Macaca mulatta: one gene and its partner. The protein of the gene in region 2 interacts with the protein of the main gene of each other region in a biochemical or structural test. Links are inferred from orthologs where the notes say so. Each region holds a gene or a part of one and is shown on either strand. Other genes may lie near its edges.

The links.
Region 1: the proteins of GABARAPL1 (region 2) and KBTBD6 form a complex in vitro, tested with the Homo sapiens proteins (2 studies listed by BioGRID and IntAct, with this or other methods). The link is inferred for Macaca mulatta from reciprocal best matches to the Homo sapiens genes GABARAPL1 and KBTBD6.

Annotation. Positions count from the first base shown.
Region 1 is NC_133422.1:20,543,741-20,547,850, forward strand, and holds the start of KBTBD6 (kelch repeat and BTB domain-containing protein 6), read right to left. Parts: upstream 2,835-4,110; 5' UTR 2,569-2,834; coding exon 544-2,568; 3' UTR 1-543. UniProt on the Homo sapiens protein: As part of the CUL3(KBTBD6/7) E3 ubiquitin ligase complex functions as a substrate adapter for the RAC1 guanine exchange factor (GEF) TIAM1, mediating its 'Lys-48' ubiquitination and proteasomal degradation.
Region 2 is NC_133416.1:10,339,687-10,343,729, forward strand, and holds the start of GABARAPL1 (gamma-aminobutyric acid receptor-associated protein-like 1), read right to left. Parts: upstream 2,862-4,043; 5' UTR 2,668-2,861; coding exon 2,578-2,667; intron 1-2,577. UniProt on the Homo sapiens protein: Ubiquitin-like modifier that increases cell-surface expression of kappa-type opioid receptor through facilitating anterograde intracellular trafficking of the receptor. Involved in formation of autophagosomal vacuoles.

The DNA of each region.
Region 1 (4,110 bases), on a different chromosome or scaffold from region 2:
CGTGAGCCACCACGCCCGGCCTGCATTTTTTTCTTCATAGAAGAAAACAAAAGTAAAACTTCCCAAATTATGTTTAACTTATAACACATTTTGCAAAGACCCCTTAGGTTAACCATTTTGGAAATCTACATTGTTCCGAAGAAAAAGATAAGCTTTCAAAACACTATCTAGCAATTCCTAATCATTTTTCTATCATAAACATTAAAATTCAAAAGTTACTGCCACAGTGCTTGTGGCAGTAAACAGAATGTAAAATTTATCAAAAGACTAAATTAGTGTCATGAAACATAAACATACTAAATAATCAAATAAATACTGGACCCTTAGCACAGAAAATTATTAAAAGGTTGATCTGAGTGTTAACATTTGTAATATTAAATTACCTTCGTATTTCAAATATTACTTTTTCTAAACCAAACCAGCAGCTAATCAACTTTTCCTTTCCTTTAGGAACAAAAAGGATATTTAAGATATTTTCCAAAACAGTAAAAACAACTTAGTGTTTCAATTCAGTTACAACAAACCCTGCTTATCCTGTGCATTTCACTGAGGCGCTACACGCACCCAAAAATCATCATCAGAAAGAGAACTTGAACTTCCTGACTCAGAGTCTGGCTCACTGAATCCACCTAAGTCCCATTCAGTGCTAGACTCACTTGGTATTTCTTCTTCTTCAGTGAGAAAACTCTGACCAGGTTCAAGGCAGGAAGGATAAACACGAGCAGAGAGGCAAAAAAAGTTAGAATCAAACTGCAAGAGGCCTAATGTGGTACCTATATTAATCCATTGGTCTCCCCTAATATCATATTCATACACAGTCACCCGGTTCTTTTTCCATTGTGGGGTGCGAGAGGTGATGAGCAACAATTTTTGGCCATGCTTGATAATCCGGTAGTTGTTGGTCTCTGAGACCAAGGGAATATTATTCATTTGCCTCCATTCTGCCCTAACTGGGTTGTAGACCTTCATGACTGGGATGTCACAGATACAGTAAATCTCCTCATTGAAGACGCACGCTTCCTGAAAGTCATTGCGCTTCAGAGAAACGCACTTCAACCACATATTATGGCTAGGATCATAACAGAACATGCGCTTACTGTTGAGAGCATAGAGATAGTCCCGAATTACCATTAGGTCAAAGGATAAAAAAGAATGGGGCAGTGGAGCCACCAATGCCCACTGGTTTCTCTTAACATTGTAGCATTCCACTTCCTTCAACTTAACTCCAGTAATAGGGTCTCGCCCCCCCAAAATGTAGATGTAGCCATTGAGATATGCCACATCCATGCCCTCACGACACAGCAAGCGATCTGCAAGTTGCTGCCAACTGTTCTGAGCTGGTTTATACACCCAGAGGTCTGTCCTGGGCTGGGCAGCTAGATAGATGTCATGGTCAGGAGAGATACAGACAGCTAAGGTGGTGACAGTCCTAGTGTGAGCCAGACAGGTCAAAGGTGACGGCACTTTGTAAAGGTCCCCCGAGTATGGATCACAGCAGAGAAAGGGATCTCTGGGGTGTCCAAAGAAGATCACCATCTCCTTGGCACACATACCCAGTCTCTGGGGTGGATTTTCTGCTGCAGATACAAGAGAGTTGCTGCTGCTACTGCTGCTGCTGCTGTTTGGCACTGGCACCAGAGACTTGTACAACAGGTCACCATAGCGCATCTGCAGGGCCCCTTCAATAACGTCCAGGCAGTACTTCTTCACGATGGGCTTGGTCAGCAGCCCTTCTAAGTAGTCCTGATCTTCTTCAGTGAAGTGCATCCAGCGCACGCACTTGAAGACTTCCGCAGCACTGGGACCCCGCTCTTTGGGAGCAGCCTCCAGCCACTGCACTGCCACGTGGCACACTGTCTGCTCACTCTCCACGTCCAGACTATCCAAGCGCAGGACAGCCAGCAGCTGGGCCAGGGTCAGATCTGCTAGAGTCTCCTCCCGAATTGAACCCATGTGGCTGAGCTGCTTGAAGTTCTGAGCTATATAGGACTGGGCCTGGGATCGCAGCTTGCGATGGCCAAAGGCGTCTGCAAACTTGAGGATGGCAGTGCAGTTGGTCAGGTCAAGACGTCGGGCTAAGAAGGAGGCACAGGCTTCCCGCACATACTCCAGTTGCAGCATGTCGGAGGCCGCGTACAGGCGCTCCACGTTGGCCTCGCTGAGAGACACACGACCCGTGTAGCAGTAGTCGACCAACACCTCGAAGGACTCGGCGTCCACATCGTGCATGGTCACGCTAGTCTGCTGGCTCTCGTACATGCCACCTGTGAACATGCTCTTGAAGTAGGGACACGCGGCGGCCAGCACATTGCGGTTGCAGGGGAAGAGGCGACCCGTGCCAGGCCCGCTGCCAGGCGTCACCACCTCGATGGTCACATCACACAGCTGCCGCGCATCGTAGAAGGACTTGAGCTGTGCCAGCAGGGCTGCAGAATGGGCCGTGTCCTTTAATTCCTCTGGACCCGTGAAAAAGGCCGAAACCGTGGGTTTGTGAATCTTCTTGGGCCGCTTCCCACCACGGGGACTGGCGAGGCGGCGAGAGCGCGGGGCGTCTTCCCGGGACTGCATGGTGGAGATGGCGACGGGCGCTGATGGCGAGAAAGGCTGCAGGACCCGGCTCTGGCTCCTCCTCAACCTTCCCTCGCTGACGCTAAGATAGCAGCGTCTCCCAAGAGACCGCAGCACGAGCCCATTTACTGAATTCCGCCCTACCCTGCGGAGCCGCCTCCCTTTATCGTTTAGACAGTAGCTGACTCACCCTCTCTCACTCCCGCGTCCTTTCTCCGCGTCTGCTCGCCTTCACAGGACCCGCTGGCTTGGAGCCGTAGAAGCCGCTACTGCCGCGTGGGCGACAATACTAGGGCCCAGGAGAACTACCGCTCCCAGGTTGCCTTTCGCGCCCCGAGGGCTGCTGGGCCTCTCGGACTCCCAGGCCGATACCGAGGGAAAGAATCCGCTTTGCATGTTGGGAGTAGTAGTTTGTGTAATATCGCGATCCTTCTGTGGTGTTCCTTGTTTTTTAACTGACGACACTCGAGAGCGCCAGTTTTCCTAGATTCGATTTTGTGGTTTGGAACTTTGGTTTTGGAATCCACAGTAGTCGCCTCGTTCTAGTATGTATTGTTCGACTTGTCTCTTTGAATTGTTTCTTCTTTTGTAAAATGTGAACAGTAGTATTTCATAGGATTGTGTGAAGATTAAATGAGTTGGTTATAGGACGCTGTTAATATTTGTTGGTTTGTAGAATAATTACTCAGTTCTTAGAATATAAAGGTTCGACAAGTTTTCTTCCAGCCTTTATATATATAGAAAAAAAGGAAGCATCACTAATTTGAAATTATGAGCCTGTAGGAAAACAAAAAACAGCCCCCGAAAACAGAAAACCTTGCAAATTGCAGCAGAGATCCCTTTTTAGGGGTGTGTGTGTGTGTGTGTGTGTGTGTGTGTGTGTGTGTGTGTAAATTAGATTTTATTTTTAGGTTTACAGACAAATTGAGCAGCAGGGACAGGGAACTTCCATATATCTCTCCCCACTTCACAGTTCCCTTATTATTATTAACACCTTGTATTAGTGTATGCATCCAGTAGAAATGAATTTTTTTTATTTTTATTTTTTACTCACTATGCCTCTCCCTGATACCAAAAATTAACTCAGGGTTTGTAGGATTGGTTGGCTGTTGCTGGAATTAGATCCCTGGTTTTTTCACAATTGCCTGTCCTTACTTGCCATGACTAAAAGGAAACCACCTCCAATCACCTTACTTTGAGACTTTCCTTCCATATCTGCATTTCAAAATCTGAAGTCCTCTCTAGCCACTTTTCCCACTTGGTCTCTCCAATATTCAGTACCCCTTTCCCTTTTTTACATAAAAGAAGAGACATGCTTTAGGGGTCCTCACCCCAAAACACAAGGGAAGCCAGAGGCCTGGTTGGTAATTTAGCATCCTTTTAGACCCAGAGGCTCAAGCATTTCTCCCCTTGCTTGTATGAAGTTGCTGCTCCATCAGAACTGACTTTATTTTTAGTCATTCACTCAACCTTTACTTACCCATGTAGTTCAGACATTAGAAGTCACTGAGAACACCTAACACGTTTCCGCTTTGGACTCAC
Region 2 (4,043 bases):
TAAAAACTGAAATAGGGTAATGTAAGCCAGGAATTAAAAGGAAAAGGCAGAAAGAGGCTAGCACTGTGCCCCAAAGGAACTCTGAGACCTAGCAGTAAGAGAGAAAAACCACAAAGGAAGACAGAAAAAGAAAGTGATAAAGCAGACCGCAATACCTGGAGGGAAGGCAGGGGTTTGGAGAGGAAGAAAAGGGGGAGGGGTAATTATTAAAGGATTGGTTTCCCAGAACCAAGGTTAAATTTCCAGGAATCCCAACTCTACTCCTCACTATGGTAGACCCTGGGCTAGATGCTTTGCCTCTTTGGGTCTCAGTTTTCCTCATTTGTAAAATGTGACTAATACTCAATAGAGCTATGAATTTTTAAAATAGACAATCTGTTTCTAGCAGTCTTTTTGATATGTTGTGTCTTTGAAGATAATTTCAAGATCCCACCAACCCCTCCTCTCTGAAGGCACAAGCATACCTCTTCAACTGTTAGCTCTGAAGAAATATTGGTGGGACTAAACTCTGGTTATGCGAGCAGTCAGGATACACCACTGCTTGAATAACACCAATGGTCAAGCTGGAATGGGCTTTAGGAACCACTACTCTAACCCTCTTTTCTGTAAACAAGGCACTCTATCTAGCACAGCAAGATTAAAAGTTCTGCCCAAGGATGCAGTGAATTCCCAGAACTAGAACCAAATCAAGGAACCTGCGTCATAACTAGAAAGAAGGTCACAGACTGAGCACCTTGGGAGCAGCTCAGCGCTGGTTAAAACATAACCCTAGGGAAGCTGAAATCTGAGTGACAGTCTTAATGGCTTAAAAATTATCACAGGAGTAAAACATTTAACACCAAACTATGAGCATGAAAAGAACAGAATGCACTGAAATATTCAGAATACACATAAGTATTTATCTATTTCCAATACTTAACAGTGTGAAGTCCACAGCACGTCATTAATTCTGGTTAATAACAACTATATTAGAAACTGAGAAACAGTATGACACGGAGGTTAAGGTCTCCGAGAGCTCCACAGTCCGTCAGACAGGGTTAGAATTCCGGCTCAAACACAGATCAGCAATGTGAAACCTTTAGGAAGTTACCGCATTTCTTTGTGCTTTGAATACTCCGTCTGTAGAACGGGGATTATAATCGTGTAAAGATTAAGCGAATGATTACAGACTGAGTACTTATACTGCTACTGTAAACTATTAGTAAAATATGACTGTATTTTTTAAATATCATTGCTCTAAAGATTGGTATCACCAGAACTCGGCAAAATTTTCAGGTATCCAAGGTCCAGAAACCAGCAAAGTATTTTGTAAAGGATCCTTTACCGAGTAAGGGATTAGCTCACCCCTCTATAAACTGAAAACCCTTTGGTAATTCCTGAGGAATGGAAGAGCCCTAATGACTTTTTTTTTTTTTTTAAAGGAAAAGGGGTACAAGAGGTTTCTACTGCTGGGCTAAGGCCCTGCTGGCTTCTGGTAGCTATAAAACCACGAACGTTAGGTAAGGATTAGAGAAGAAACCCAGAGTGGCTGCGAATCAAGATAAGACATCAGATAACAGCAATTATTTTACCATGATGTGACATGTAATCCTGATGTTCCTACCTGAAGATAAAGAGCACAATTTTAAAAATCTCTGCTCCTCCATTTCCAAAATCCAACAGCTGCTGGTCCCTTTACCACTTAAAAGTCATACTCTGCCCTCCAATTCGGCTGCGCAGCCCACATTAGAGAAACACCAGGCAAGGGACGGGGGAGGGGGTAATGGGGAAAACGCCCGGATGCTGAAAGACACCTAATGTTTCTTCTCTGTTCCTACTCACTACCTGCGCTAGTTTTAACTACTTAAGCCGGTGTCCAAAACACAGAAAAAACGTCTCAGTCCTGCCTTATCGCGTGCAGGTGCCAGGTGATCAGAAATCAATACCGGGGGAGGCTGGCTGTCCCTACACATTTCCCGGAGCCTAGAACGATGAGGCAAGAGGGCTGTTGCGCAGAGAACGTGACCTTGTTTTTCAGGCCCGGACTGTCTTGTGCTCCCCTACCCCCCTGTCATGCAAGAAAAGAACCGAATAGCTTCTGAACCTTTTCCTCCCAAGCCCAATGATATGACAGCCAAAGTCAACTTCATTAAAGGAGAACCAGCCAAGGCAGAAATCGACCGGGTTTGCGCAAACCTCACCGCACAGCACAGTGTCCCCGCGTTCTTAAAGGGAGCCAATCCACGGCCCTGATCTAACCACTCTCGCACACAGGGGCGCTATTTTGCGCACCTCAACCCACACAGGGTCTCAGTATTGCTGAGACCGTGTGGGTTGCTGAGTCACTGAAGATGGCAGCTCGGCCCCAAAAACACCGTCAGCCCTGAAGTGGGGTTCAGGCCCCAGGCATATGTGGTTTTAAAAGCTCCGCAGTCTGGACGTCCATTGGCTCGGGCACTGAAGGGCGTTCAGGATTAACTAATTATCGGCACCTCCCTTCCCCAGAGTCGCCTGGGCGCCCCAGGGAAGCCATCTCGACTCCCAGCCCCCGCCCCCGCGGGCCCTTCCCCTCCCATCCCCCCGCTCCTCTACACTCACGGGGACCCTGTCCGGATATTTCTTCCGGATCTTTTCTCCTTCCTTTTTCCGATACTCAAAGGGATGGTCCTCCTTGTACTGGAACTTCATGATGCACCGCAGGGCTTCCGAGATTCCCCGCGCGGGGCCTGCCTCCTTCGCTGCTGGCCCTGTCCAGCTCCCTCCGCCGACGTCAAGGTGTGCTCAAATAGCTACAGAAACGTCCGCTCCCGGGGCAACAGCGCTGGGCCGAGCGTGCAGAGGGGGTTCGGTGTGGGGGGGATCTCGGGTGAGCCTGCCCGGAGATAGAGGAGAGCCAGGTGGAGAAACACCGGCGGCTTTTCGCTGGAGCTGGGAGCACAAAAACAGTTGGGTGGCGCGTCGGGCTGTGACGTCACCCTGCGCGCCCCGCCCCGCCCCCCAGGCGCCGAGGGCAGGGGGCGGCCGAGTGCTGTCTTAACTGCGTTTCCTTTCTGGCTAACGTTTTTCAAAATCGATGTCATTGCAAACATCAAAACATTCTAGTTGTGTTTTATTTTGTGACTGTGAAAGACGGTTTTAAGACAAAAACAATTTTAAACATGTTTTATTCCCCCTCCACTGTTTTTCTTGGTTTGGCCCCAAAACAAATACAAAAGGCGAAAATCCTTTTCCTGCTGGTTGGGATCCAGCCTCAGGGGAAAAGAGGCCCAGGCCTCCTGGGATCCCTTTGGCCAATGCAGAGCTGTCCCGTGCTTGCACCGTGCCCTCTGCGCTTTCCGCTGCCCCTCCCGCGGCCCTCCTCCCGCGCTGGCGTCACAGTGTTTGGGCCGCGCCGCAGTTCGCTCCTGAACAGCAACATAAACAGAGCGTGACTCAGGAATCTGAAGAGAGGAGTCAGATGAAGGACGCGGAGTGTAATCAAGGTCCAAAGGAGACGTGATGTCAGTCAGGACTACGGAGGGCTTCACGTACAATCAAATACAGAAATGATTCACTTTCTAGCCGGACGCGGTGGCTCATGCCTGTAATCCCAGCACTTTGGGAGGCCGAGGCAGGGGGATCACCTGAAGTTAGGAGTTCGAGACCAGCCTGACCAACATGGAGAAACCCCGTCTCTACTAAAAATACAAAATTAGCTGGGCGTGGTGGCCCATGCCTGTAATCCCAGCTACTCTGGAGGCTGAGGCAGGAGAATCGCTCTAACCCGGGAAGCGGAGGTTGCGGTGAGCCAAGATCGCGGCATCGCACTACAGCCTGGGCGACAAGAGCGAAACACCGTCTTAAAGAAAAAGAAAAGAAAGAAAGAAGTGATTCACTTTCTGCCATTAACTCAGAAAGGAGGCTTGTCTTCTGGAAAAGAGAGTATCAAGCAATTTAGGTGATGACCTCAATTCTTCCCCCACATCTTATTTAGTTCCAGTGGTTAGGTATCCCTCACGTGGCTGGAAAGCGCTGCCTGGAATGCCAGTGGAAGATTGGGCATTGCGGCAGGTGCGGCGAAGCCT